Linked DNA regions of Diceros bicornis minor. The protein of the gene in region 1 interacts with the protein of each later gene in a pairwise test. Links are inferred from orthologs where the notes say so. Each region holds a gene or a part of one and is shown in the gene's direction. Other genes may lie near its edges. The genes, in order: NECAB2, KANSL1 and ISCU.

Region 1 (4,167 bases):
AGGAGGACTCCAGGCCCCGCTCGTTCCAGAATCAGGTCCCAAATAAAACCAGAGCCTGCCTCCACTCATGTGTCTGAGGATTCTACGCTTGGGGAGGGGCCCGATGCCCAGGACCCTTCTCTGGGAGCTGGGGGGAGGGCACAGGGCCATGTAGGAGGAAGTCCTTGGACTGGGGGGTTGGGAGATAAGGGATGGTGCCCCAAGTGGGGGACAGCTATGTAGAGAAGTGAGGGGAGGGTGTGGAGAAACGAGGTGCTGGGGAGCCTTCTGCAGCCCTCCCACCCCTCCAACCTAGTCCCTGCTGCTCTCCCACTTGGTTCCAGCCACACTGTCTCCTTTCAGTTCCTCATCAGGCTTGTACCTGCTGCAGGGCCTTTGCACAGGCTGGTCTCTAGCCCAGGGCATTTTCCCTCCTCTCTCTTCCTCTTTCTCCTCTTCTTCCACTCTCTCAGCATAAGGATCACCTCCTCTAGGAAGCCTCTTCTGACGAAGACCCCTCCAGGGCCACATGGCCACCAGGACAAATCCTTCACTCATGGCCCAAAGTGCCACCTCTTTATGGCAGTTCAGTTGTAATGGTTTATTTATTTGTGAAATGGTTCCAGTATCTGGCTCCACCCACTTGGATGTAAGCTCCCGGAGGCCAAGGACCCAGTCTGTTTTGCCCATTATTGGAATCCGGCGCCTAGCACAGGGTCTGGGGCCTAGCACCTATCGGGTGCTCCCTAACTAATCCTTTGGACCAGTGGATGGATGGATGGATGGATGATGGATGGACGGATGATGGATGGGTGGATGATGGATGGATGGATGGAGTGTGAGGGGAAGAGGATGTTCTGGGGCGCAGCCTGGTTCCGGTCTTTGTGTAATGGGAGGCGGAGGTCTGGGGGAGCATGCACGCCCCCGGGAGGGAGGAGTAGGTGTCAGTGGGAGTGATGGGGGAGCCCGCGCGCGTGGGCACTCATCTCGGGAGCTGGAGCCGGCAGAGGGCGCTCCAGGCTCGCCGGACACCTGAGCTCCGGCCCCTGCGGCGGCGCCACGGGTGGGGTGGGGGGACCTTCGGGAGGGCAGCCCCCAGGGATGCCCCCCACGCAGCCAGACCCCCACCAACCCCGTGCCTACTGGGCAGCGCAACACCCCCCCATGCGGCCGGGCCGGGGTCCAGCCGCCAGGCCTCGCGCTCCGGGCGGGCAGCCCCCTGCCGCCGCGCCTGGCCGCGGGAGTGGGGGGAGGGGGGTGTGGACACGGGGCACGTGGCTCGGGGTCCGGGCGGAGCGCCCCCCTCCCCCTCCTTCCCCGGAGGCGGCCCGTCCCCGCGGTGGCCGCGGCCGTGGGGGCCGAGAGCGGGAGGGCGGGGCGCGCGGGCGGCGCGGGGAGGGGGTCGCGCGGGGGCGGGCCGCGGGCCGGGCGGGGGTCGGCGGGCTTCCGGGCGGCGGCGGCGGCGGCGGGCGCGGCGCGATGTGCGAGCGGGCGGCGCGCCTGTGCAGGGCCGGCGCGCACAGGCTGCTCCGGGAGCCGCCGCCGCAGGGCCGGGCGCTGGGCGGGCTGCTGCGCTGGGTGGGCGCCAGGATGGGCGAGCCCCGGGCGCCGCTGGCCCCCGACGCCCCCGCCGCCCCTTCCGCGGACCCCGGCCCCGGCCCCGCCTCGCCGCGCGGGGGCACCGCCGTCATCCTGGACGTGAGTACGCGCTGGCCGGGACCCCGAGTCCCCTCCTCTCTCGGGGGCGACCCCGACGCCGCCCTCCCGGGTCCCCGCCCCGACCCGCGTCCTCTCCTCCCTGCGCAGACGACCCCGACCCATCCCCCTCTGCGCCCCAGAGCGCGAGCCCCCAGCCCGTCACGTCCCGGCCGGGGTCTGTCCCCGAACCAGGACGACCTCTCCTTCCACCAACCTCCCTTCACTTCTCGGGACCCCCACCTTCCCGGAGCCGGGACTCTGGAGCCCGTCGCCCCGGCCACTGCCCCCCTACTTCTGTGCTGGCCAAACCGTCGTCTTTTCCCCAGCCCCGCGCCTCGCTCTTTACTCTCATCCCCTCCTGAGACCGGAGCCCCCTCCTCCTCTCCACCCCGGATCCCTGCCGAGTCGCTACTTTTCTGAGAGACAACCCCCCCCCCCCCCCCGGGCTTTAGGTGCCGGCTTTCTCGTCCTGGCTTTAGACTCTGAGCCCGGTATTCCCCTTTCGCTCCGACACAGCCTCTTTAAAAGTGAAGCCCCCTCCCCAGCTGTCTTCCCCTCCCCTTTCAGTGGAGCCAAACCACCCCCATCTTCGCTGATCCCGGACCCCCTGGGCTCCCCCCAGCCACCCCCACTGCACTCCTAGGCCCCTCTGTCCCCCATTCCCTTCCCACCCTCCCTCTATTCACCGCCCCCCCCCAGTCCCCTCTGGGACTCAAAGCTCCACTTCACCCCCCCCCCACGCACTCCCCCGGGTGGGAGAGAGATTCTACAGGGTGGATGGCCGCCCCGTGGGAAACTTCTTCATTCTGGGGTTCCTGCCCCCCAGTGAGATCACGGGTGGTGGGACATGCATGTCCCAGTGAGGGTCCTTTTGTGGTGGGGGTGGCCGCAGGATGGGGTGCTTCACGTGTGTGTGGTGGCTTTCTGGGAGTGTTGTGTGTGTGTACTGCACGGCCCTATGAGTGGGGGGACCGTGGGTCTCCTCTCTTCTGGAAACCGTAGTTGACTCTGGGTGGAGAGGACTGGGTAGGGAAAGGGAGCTGTGCTCTGAGTGCTTGTGGCTCCAGTGCCCCCAAACACACACACACAGCCCGACACACACTTACACAGCTAGACCCCCCCTCCCTCTCCCCCTCTCTCTCTCTCCCCCTCCCTCCCTCTCTCTCTCCTCTCAACCCCAGCGGAGTTCACGCTGAAAGCCCAGGGCCACAGGGTCCGGAGACGCAAGCCTGCCCTCGTAGGGAAGCCTGCACCGACCCCTCCTGATTCTCTCTGACAGTCGGGAGGTGGGCTTCGAGTCCTCATGCTGGCGGTGTGTGGGCTCTGAGTCTGCATTTCCTCCTCTGTGAAATGGGGTGATGAGCGGGCGTCGGGGCTCACAGGCTGGTGCAGACTCCTCGAGCCGCATCCCTGTGGTCCTGTCATTCCCTTGTTTAACACCCCGGCCCAGAGCAGGCACCTGAGGGTGGGACCCCGGCCTCAGGAACCTCACAGTCAGGAGCAGGGGTGTGGGGCGCCCAGGCTGGGGCTTTGAGGAGGGCCTGGAGTGGTCCCATAACTGCCTCCCTTTCTGCTCCAGCCACAGTGGGTTCCGCCTGGTGCCCTGGACTCGGGGTTCAGCTGAGGGAGGGGGGTGATGTTCCAGAAGCCCTCCCTGAGCTGCTGCTTCAGTCTGTCCCAGCCCCAGGGGCCTGATAATGGATGCCCGCCCCATTGGTGGAAGGATGGGGGGGCATCCTCCCTTGGCACCAAGGCAAGGACCAAAGATGGGGTGGTCATGGGGGGGCCCTCCCCCTCCCCCTCCCCCTCCCCCTCCTCAATCAATCAGCATGGCTTACCTGGTCCCAAAAATAACAAGAGAAGGAGTTATCTGGTCTCACCTGAGGCTTGGAGGGGGCGGGGGGGGGGGGGGGGCGGGGGGGGGGGGAGGCGTGCCCTGCCTCCAGCCCCTCATGATGCAGCCAGAACTTTGCATCTGCAGCTGGTTCCCTACTGCCTACTTCCACCCACTCCCCCACCCCCAAAATAATCCAGCCCTGCCCGCGGCTGGTCCACTCGCCAGGTCTCGAGGTTCTGTTAGCAGACCCCTTCCTTCAGACTTAACCCAACCTCCCTGGAGAAAACCGGGGCTCCCCAGGGGTTCTGGGAGGGGTGCAATGGTGTAAGGCGTGTGGCTGCGCCCATGGGACACAATTCTGAGTGTGCGACTGAGCACAGGACAGTGGGTGAAGCCACGTGGACCGATAGCTCTGGAAGTCCACCCGCAGGCGTGTGGATGGGTGTGAGCGTGTCCACGCGCGTGTGCGTGTGTGTCGGCGTGGCCGTGGGCAGGCTGGCGGCACAGAAGGGAGTGGGTGGCTGCTTCCGCGCGGGCGGCTGGGGCGGTCTCCGCCTGAAACGTCCCTTCCCCGCCCCTGGATCCCAGCCGGGGTCTCCTCGCTGGGGAGGGGGTGAGGCTCAGCTTCCCCAGGCCCGCGGGGGACGAGTGGG
Region 2 (4,167 bases), on another chromosome or scaffold:
CCTTTCCTTTCCAGGCCCTCATGACCTTATATCTGGTTGACTTCATACATAAGTATTTGTGTGTGTATATTTTATATACATATATAAAATCTCCCCCTATGGCCTTCCGGCTCGAGTTTTCATCACGTCGCTTCCTGGATGAAGAACCTACAGGGCTGAGGGGCCGGGGTTGGGGGTGATGGAGAAGAGGATCTAAAGGGGACTTAGGTAGGGGGTTCGGAGTGGCAGATTGGTGGGAAGGTCTACCAGGATTCCTATTTCTATCCCTCCCACCTCCAGGCCCCTTCCAGTTCTCTCGTCCAAATGTCTCTCGTTCCCAAGAGCCGAGACAGAGGCAGAGACAGCGAGATATACAGAGACAGAGACGCCGAGGCACCAGCATCCCTCTCCCCCTTCTGTCCCGCCCCACCGCTCTGACGGACATCTGCCATCAGCCAATGGCGCTCACGATGTGCCCCGGAAGGGCCAATGAGAGACAGAGGAGGGCGGAAGATTCCCCGCCCCCACTTCTAGGCTTGGTTGAGCCGTGCAGGTAGGTCCGGGGCCGGGGGAGCAGCCGTTGGCACTGGTGCCCCTGGGGGTAGGGGCACGAGTCGGTAGGGGTGATGGCGGGGAAGGGGAGGCGGCCTCGACTGCGGGAGCCCGAGGGGGCGGCCCGGCCGGGAGGCGGGGTGCCGAAGGGCCCGGGGAGCGGGCGCCGCCGAGGGCCCTGGAAGCGGCTGGACTGGGGGAGCGGACGCGTGTGTGGGGCACGGGGACCCCCGCTCCGCGCCCACCCGCAGGCCTGGGCCGCGGGCTGCCGGCCGAGGGGCCAGGGGCCTGGTGCCCGGGGGGCGGGCTGGGCTGGGCCCCGGGCCGGGGGCGCCGAGCAGAGTCCGGGGCGCCAGGCCGAGCCGAGGTGGGACGGACCGACGCCGAGAGGAAGGGAAGCTGCATCCTGCGGGCCGCCCCTCCTGAAGCGAGCCGGGGCCACGGCCTCAGGCGCCCCTGCCCTGAGCCCACTCCCCCCGCGCCCCCGCCCTAACAATGGGCATGGGGCAGAAGGAGGCGCCCCTCTGAGGGAAGGGGGGGGTAGGTTTGGGACTAGGGTCCACGGTGGGGGGAGGGGTGGGAACTCGGGCTCTCTCCTTTCTCTTCTCTTGGCTTTCGCGGTGGGGATCATGGAGGGGCTGTTAAACCCTCCTGAGACTGGGGTCAAGAGTCAAACCACCCCACCCCCCCTGCAAAAAAAAAAAAAATCTGACGACCGGTAAGGAAAGTGATGCCAAGTCTTCGTAGCCGAAGTGACAAACGCATAGCAAGAACAAATCCACTCCAGAGGTTTTTATTTTTAATTTTTCTTAAAAATGAGGGTACTGTAGTCTTCGATTTTTCGAAATTTATTTTTCAGAGGTGGGTGCTGTTATTTTTGTCCCTACTCGGGCAAGCCTCCATTTTAAGCGATGCAGTAACTGGTTAAGCTGGAATTTTCATTCAGGCCGAGGACTTGAACAAGGATCCTACAAGAGGTCATTTAAGCCATCCTCCTACCTGCAGGCAAACTTGCCTTCCTCCCATCCTCAAAATTAAGTTGTTTGTTCTGCTTTTAAAGATCTCTGTCTTTTATTTGCTACTAGCACTTAAGAATAGATTTTATTTTTCACGTAGAATTCGACTCTGAAACAAGCTTAATAAAATTTAGGACAATTGGAATGATCAGAGCGGTTTTAATTTATTAAATAAAAATTAAACATGACAAGGGTCTTTCTTAAAAGGTCAGTTAACAAATGACTTTTCAATCGTGTTTATGAAGTACGCTGGATAATCATTTTTCTATCTGGGATAATGGTTTTCTAATTATTTGATAAGCAATTTTGTATTATCTAAAGTATGTGTTACACATTTAATCCACTTTTTATGTAAAATATATTTCTACATATATATGGAGATACACACACTTGCCCTTTCCCAAAGGGGACTGTTTTGTACATCTTTTTAGGATGGTGAAGGAAGTAGTACTTCAAATCTATGTCTAGATAGCTTAAATTGTTTGCTTATTCTTGATTATTTTTTAGTCTAAATGCAAGTCCTCTCTTTCAGATACCTTCTTGAAACAAAAAATTTTTCTACCTGCTCCTACTTCGTCACTGAGGGATTACTACAACTCCCTTCTTGCTCATTTCTGAGTATTGTCTGAACTATTCCTGACACTATGAATGCTATTTGGATGCCTCTTAAGGTAAGATGTGTTTTTTTAAATTAAAGGCCTCATTTTATTTCTTTTCCTTTAGAAATGAGAATATTCTCGTTCTTAAATTTGCAGTCCTTCAACCCTCTCACCCACACTCTTTTCCCCTGGAAAACTACTATTGTGTTTGCTTCCTAGGACTGATTGGCTATTCCTTACTTTGTATTGCTACTATTGATTATTGGTCTTAAAATATTAATGAAGTTCTCAAATTAACTTCATTATCATGATGTGTTTATTTTTTAACTTTAAATTGTGACATCCTGCCTAGTTGTACAATTCTGTTCCAATCTCAGTGGGATGGATTGGCAATTCAGACATCCAGGTCCACTTTTGAAACAGTCATAGGTACTAGGGTGTGTCCCACTCTTGCAAATCTGTAGCTGATTCATGTGTTACAAAAGATGTGTCATTAACCATTTGTTTACTCTGAAACTTCATATAGTATATTAGAACATTCTAAGATCTGTTGGTTTACATGTACAGCTCTTTTGGAGAGTTCTGCTGCTCCCTAGTCCTTTGCCTGAGAATTTACACTATTTTTCTCAACAGAGAGCACTTTGTGCCAAGTTTAATCTCACAGAGTAAACCTCTTCTGGGCAGTGTGGACAGATGATCTTTAGATGAGAAAGCTCTCATTGATGTGGTGGTTCTCCAGGCTCTTGGCTCCTTCCAATCTCTTTTATATAGATGGCCAAAGGATTCTCCAATAGGACTAAGCAGAGGGCAAAGCCTAAGACGTGTAGGGAGGAAAGTAGGAGGAAGGATGGAGAGAGACAGATAAGGAGTGATGGAGTCCTCCACCAGCTTCACCAGGTGACATGTGTTGCCTTTCTTTGGAGCTAGATACTAGTGTAGTTAAGATTGTTGTGTGTTAATCTGCCCTGTGGAATTCCAGATTAATGTAGTGAATAAATCAGACAATAATGCAGTCTGTGTCACTTAAATATTTGGACTGTGGGAAATCTTTAGGTAAATGCAGACTGAGTTCTCATCTTCATTTATGTTCTAGCTGCTATTGTTGGGTGATGGGTGCTTATATTAGTATAAGGGAAGCCATTCTCCCTGTAGAGTTGGAGGGGTTGCGTGGGGGAACCCAGCCAGAAGTCCTGAACTCATAGGAATTGGAGAAGCTTGCACGAAACTATTTTTCTTTGGTATCAGTGTTTAGCACCAGGACCTGGTGGCCTCTGTTCTCTTTAGGAAGCAGTCAAGAGGATATCAGTGGGTACTAGTTCCCTATAAACCCAAGGAATTTGGGATCAATATATTGGATTTTATTTTACAGTTTCCTTGGTTTTAATTAATGTATTAGGTACATAGAGGCCTGCTTTTTAAGATGAAATGATGTTTAAGATTTTTCCTCTCAGTCTCTGAACCTAGGGTATTATAATATAGTTCCACAGTAACTCCTGAAGTTGTACCAAAGGCCTCTGGCAAGGCAGAAATACAGAATGGAAGTCAGTACTCCATACTCTGTGAGTTGCTACCTGTTAACTACTTAACAATGTAGTTGTGTGGCTGCCTTAATTTTATGTTCCCTACCAATCCTTTGATCAGTGGAAGACCTCTTCTGAGTCTAAACAATTTTTTTATTTGCTGACATTTTCCTCCTCCTTTTATTCCTTAAAAAAACTTAAAAACTGTAGTGTTTGATCTGGGCAGGAAAAAAGGCACTTTTTTGAGAGAAGAGGATAGCGTAGAATTTACAGGGTGAAAAAAGGGGGAGAGCTTTCTTCTCTTTTTCAGTTGTGAATGTCCTTAAAATCTTTCTGAGATGTATTTTCAGTTTATAGCTACTTATTTTTAAGTAAAAAAAATGGTAGGCTAATTAAAATGTATACTTTGGAGCCAAAATGTTCATTTTCTAGTTCTTACTCTTTGTTTCTGATTATCTTATTTCAGAATGAACTCTAGTTCTATCAGGCATTACTTAAATG
Region 3 (4,167 bases), on another chromosome or scaffold:
TTAAGGGTTTGGAGCCATCTTGAGAAGGTCAATATGATTCTTGGGATAAACGCCTTGCTTGCGTCTAACCTGGCGCGTGGTTCAGTCTCCCCAGCAACTGAGCGTCAAACGCAGAGAAACCTCCGAGTCCTCTGGGAAGTATCGATTGCACCATCCACGAGAAAAATCCATTTCCCAAAGAGATTCCTCCCCTTTATGTAATGCCTGGTGCCTAGCAGGCGTTAAATAACACGTGCGAGATTTCTCGTTTTCTAAGACCGTATTCTGCAAACCAATATTAATAAATTACATGACTAAACATTTATTCAGAAACTCTTCACTGCCAGGTATTGTCATATAAATTGTGCCAGTTTGCTTTATATTGAAATAGACGCGGACATAAATATACGCATTTTTCTGTTAATCAGGGCATGGTGTTCGTTTCCTTCCTAATTAAGCTTCCCATTTTTGAGGTAGGAAAGTATTGGCGTGTTCATTTATTGCCTTCCTCCTTCGTTAGCAAGCTTAATGGAGCAGGGACTATGTCTTTCCGTTGGATCCCCAAAGCCTATTAGTATAGCGCCTTGACATATGATAGGTACTGAACACATATCTGCTCAATGGATGAAAAAATTGGCCTTGACTTAGTACAAAAGAGAAGATCAAGGCTTAGAAAGCTGATGTCATTTGCCTACAGTCACACAGCCAGGAAGAAGCAGAACCGGGATTCTAACAGGATTGTTCGAGTTTGAATCCCCACTGAGTCAAACTCTGGGCAACCTCAGACAAGCTACTAAGTCGCTCTGAACCTCAACTTCCTAAGCTGCAAAACAGAGTGAAGAAAGGTGGACTAGGTGATGCTCTGCGCCGTATTCCGGCGGTGGGCTTTGTGAACGCGAACGTAGGTCCCGCACTCCAGGAAGCTGAGATCCTAGCAGATACAGAGCCCAGCGCCGAGAACAAACCCGCCTGCGACCCCACAGCTCCCAGCTCCGAGCCCCGCCCGCCCTGAGGGGCGGGGCCCAAGCGCGGACACGTGCACGGAGCGAGAGGGCGCAGGCGCGACGTCGCGGTGACGTAGGAGGAAGCGCGCTCCGAGCTGGGAGCCGACTTGCGGGCGCACCCCACCCCTCGGTCTCGCGCTCGGCCTGCGCAGGCGCAAGCCCGCAAGATGGCGGCGGCTGGAGCGGGCCGTCTGAGGCGGGCGGCGTCGGCCTTGCTGCTGCGGAGCCCGCGCCTGCCCGCCCGGGAGCTGTCAGCTCCGGCCCGGCTCTATCACAAGAAGGTGGGCGCGGGCGAGGGGGCGCGCAGGGCCCGCGCCGGCCGGGGGGGCGGGAGTGCGACGACCGCCGAGGGGCCCCGGGCGTGCCGGCGGAGGCCCAGCCCAGGGAGGAGTGGCCGCGGGGCTCTGCGCGGCCGGGGAGCCCCTGCTACGGCGGGGGAAGGGGCGGCGCCCGGCCCCGGACGGAGGGGCCGCCCCCTCGCTCGACCCTGCCCCTCGCTGCGCAGGAACGCTAACCCGCCTGAAGCAAGCACCGGCTGCGGCTCGTGGAGCCGCCGCCGCCCGGGGCCCGCCGCCCGCCGCGGGGTCTCGCGTCCCGGCCTTTAACTTCCCAACAGTCGGGGGCCTGTTGGGACCTGCCAGCCGCATCCGGGGCCAGACACGCACACCGGCTCCAGCCAGGCCACTGCCCGGGCCCAGTGACCTTGGGCAAGTCACTGCCCCTCGCCGAGCCCTTTTCCCCATTTGTAAAATGGGGGTCTTAGCACTTCTAGATCTACGCGAGGTGATGCTCGTGGAGTCCTCGGCGTGATGCCTAGCACACGGGGACCGTTTATGGTGCCGCAGCTGTTACTGTGGTAGGAAGGAGCCTCTGAGCGGAGTCGGACACGTAACCAGCAGTCATAATGTTTTTATGTATGTTTTGGTTTTTTCGTGGGGGGAGGGGGAGAGGAATAGGCGCAACGTTTACAGCCCTTGCCTTCTGGGGGCGTAAAGTCCCCTAGACGTGAGATTCTTTGACTCCGGAAACTAAGCGAAGAATGCCGTACATCAACATGGGGCAGAAAGTCCAGATTGGACATGACCTTGTAGGTCCTTGGGCTTGGAGTCCGAGTCCGTGGTCGGAGAGGTGGGGGAAAGGAGACTGGAAGATCGGGATACTTAGAGCTAACTGGTAAACGGACCCAAGGCTATTAAAGCGTGTGTGCCAGTGTGAAGAGAGATTTATTCGCTTCTGGCTTCACGATGCCAAGGACTTCCCTCCTCCGCCTCCCGGGGGTGTGTTTTGTTGACATTTCACGCTGAATGAGTTCGAGCTAGCAGCCTTCCAGCCACCAGGGGGCGCTGCTGCACCGGGGGGCTTTCAGGGCCCTGAAATACAGAAACAGGCCTGATGTTATCATCGTACACAAATGCACAGGGTCCATAGCATTGTTCCTTCTGTAACAGTCTCCTTGAGGCTCTGGGAAAGCCTTACATTTCTGACCCGTACTTATTTTTAGAATTTTTGAATAGTAATCATTAACCTTTAAAAATGGATTTTATTTGGAAATAACAAAAATACTGTTTGAGCCCAAATCTGGTGACGTAGGTGGTTAAAGGTCAAGTAATTATGTGTGGTTAAAAACCCTGTGGAATTAAGACATGATTTGGCTGGTTTTTCTCTCGTATCTCAAATCTCTGAAGGTAGTTGGAGAGGAGATACAGAAAGACTTTGGGTCGCAAATGGTTGTCATTGACAGAGGTGTAAGCCTTCCTACCAGGGTGAAATTTGGGATTTAGTGATCGCCTGCCAGGTTCAGCCTGCCGACTTCCGGGAGCTTACTGTCAAGTCGGGGAGACCAGTACCAAAAAAGAGTCATGATTGCTCTCAACCTTTCGTTTCAGGTTGTTGATCATTATGAAAATCCTAGAAACGTGGGGTCCCTTGACAAGACATCTAAAAATGTGGGAACTGGATTGGTGGGGGCTCCAGCGTGTGGTGATGTAATGAAACTACAGGTAGGACCGGTTTTGATCTTGAATGTGAATAACAGTGACCCCTTTGCTTACACAGAGCTTCACTGTTTACAAAGCATGCGCACACACAGCATTTCGTGCAGACTCCATCTTGATTCCTGTGAGATGGGGTGAGTCAGTGTTATAAATTGTCAGAGCAAGGACTGAATGCTAGTCCCCCTGCTAGTAGACTGTGCTGACCCTTTCTGATATAGTAAACTGATCTCCCTTTTCTAGTCACTGGATCAGCTTAAATTCCAGCTTCAGCGAAGTAAAGTTTTTATGAATTTTACTGATCGAAGGAAAACCACAACCGTTCAGCTAGCCACCCTCAGTGAGACAAGAAATGTAATAAATCAAACCTCCCCCAAATTGGCAACAACCTGAAGGTAGTGATTGGCACTTTGGGGAAACCGTAGCTTTATGCACAATCTACTTCATCATGGTGGGTGGGCACCTTGCCAGAGGTTTTCATGCTTATCTTGGAAAACAGAAACAAGGCAGGAGGGAACCACTAAAGGTAACTTGGTGCCAAGAAAAAAGCAATAACCAGAGACCTTTAGTGCAGACCGTCCCAGTGCTTAAAGAGGCAGACTGACCCAGCAGCTGTGAGCAGAACTTCATAGCCAAAAAGCAGGCTAGCATTGCAAAAAAAACTAGGGAGGGGGCATATTTTTCAGCTCATCTTTACCAGCTAAGCCTGTATAATTCTGTATAGTTGTTCCCACGTTTAACTTTTCCTCACTGAGCTCTTTGAAACAAAGCAAGCGCGGTAATTAGTGCCAAAACTTAGTGTGGAAAGAAAGACCACAGCTCTTGGGGAGAGCCCCGGTGAACCTCGGTGAGGGCCAGGTTCTACAGGGCATCTCAGGAATCACTGCCTAACTCCTGTCTCTTTTCTAGATTCAAGTGGATGAAAAGGGGAAGATCGTGGACGCCAGGTTTAAAACATTTGGCTGTGGTTCTGCCATTGCCTCCAGCTCATTAGCCACCGAATGGGTAAAAGGGAAGACGGTAAGGTTGCTTGCCAATTGGACGGCAAGTAAATCGAATTCCCCACAAACCTGGCTCTCAGTTAAGGGAAGGGTCTAGTGAGTGAAAAAAAGTAACTATGATTTTTTCAAAATATCATTCTAAGAATTTTTTTTTAATTTCTCCTACCCAGAGTGTGATTAAATTCTTCTCTG

What was found.
Region 2: the proteins of NECAB2 (region 1) and KANSL1 interact in binary tests that used the Homo sapiens proteins (3 or more experiments, as listed by UniProt). The two-hybrid records come from large-scale screens. The link is inferred for Diceros bicornis minor from reciprocal best matches to the Homo sapiens genes NECAB2 and KANSL1.
Region 3: the proteins of NECAB2 (region 1) and ISCU interact in binary tests that used the Homo sapiens proteins (3 or more experiments, as listed by UniProt). The two-hybrid records come from large-scale screens. The link is inferred for Diceros bicornis minor from reciprocal best matches to the Homo sapiens genes NECAB2 and ISCU.

What each region holds. Positions count from the first base shown.
Region 1 is NC_080771.1:33,094,521-33,098,687, forward strand, and holds the start of NECAB2 (N-terminal EF-hand calcium-binding protein 2), read left to right. Parts: upstream 1-1,458; coding exon 1,459-1,677; intron 1,678-4,167. UniProt on the Homo sapiens protein: May act as a signaling scaffold protein that senses intracellular calcium.
Region 2 is NC_080757.1:44,760,559-44,764,725, reverse strand, and holds the start of KANSL1 (KAT8 regulatory NSL complex subunit 1), read left to right. Parts: upstream 1-1,152; 5' UTR 1,153-2,218; intron 2,219-4,167. UniProt on the Homo sapiens protein: Non-catalytic component of the NSL histone acetyltransferase complex, a multiprotein complex that mediates histone H4 acetylation at 'Lys-5'- and 'Lys-8' (H4K5ac and H4K8ac) at transcription start sites and promotes transcription initiation.
Region 3 is NC_080774.1:18,771,942-18,776,108, reverse strand, and holds the start of ISCU (iron-sulfur cluster assembly enzyme ISCU), read left to right. Parts: upstream 1-1,135; 5' UTR 1,136-1,150; coding exon 1,151-1,264; intron 1,265-2,869; coding exon 2,870-2,983; intron 2,984-3,883; coding exon 3,884-3,994; intron 3,995-4,167.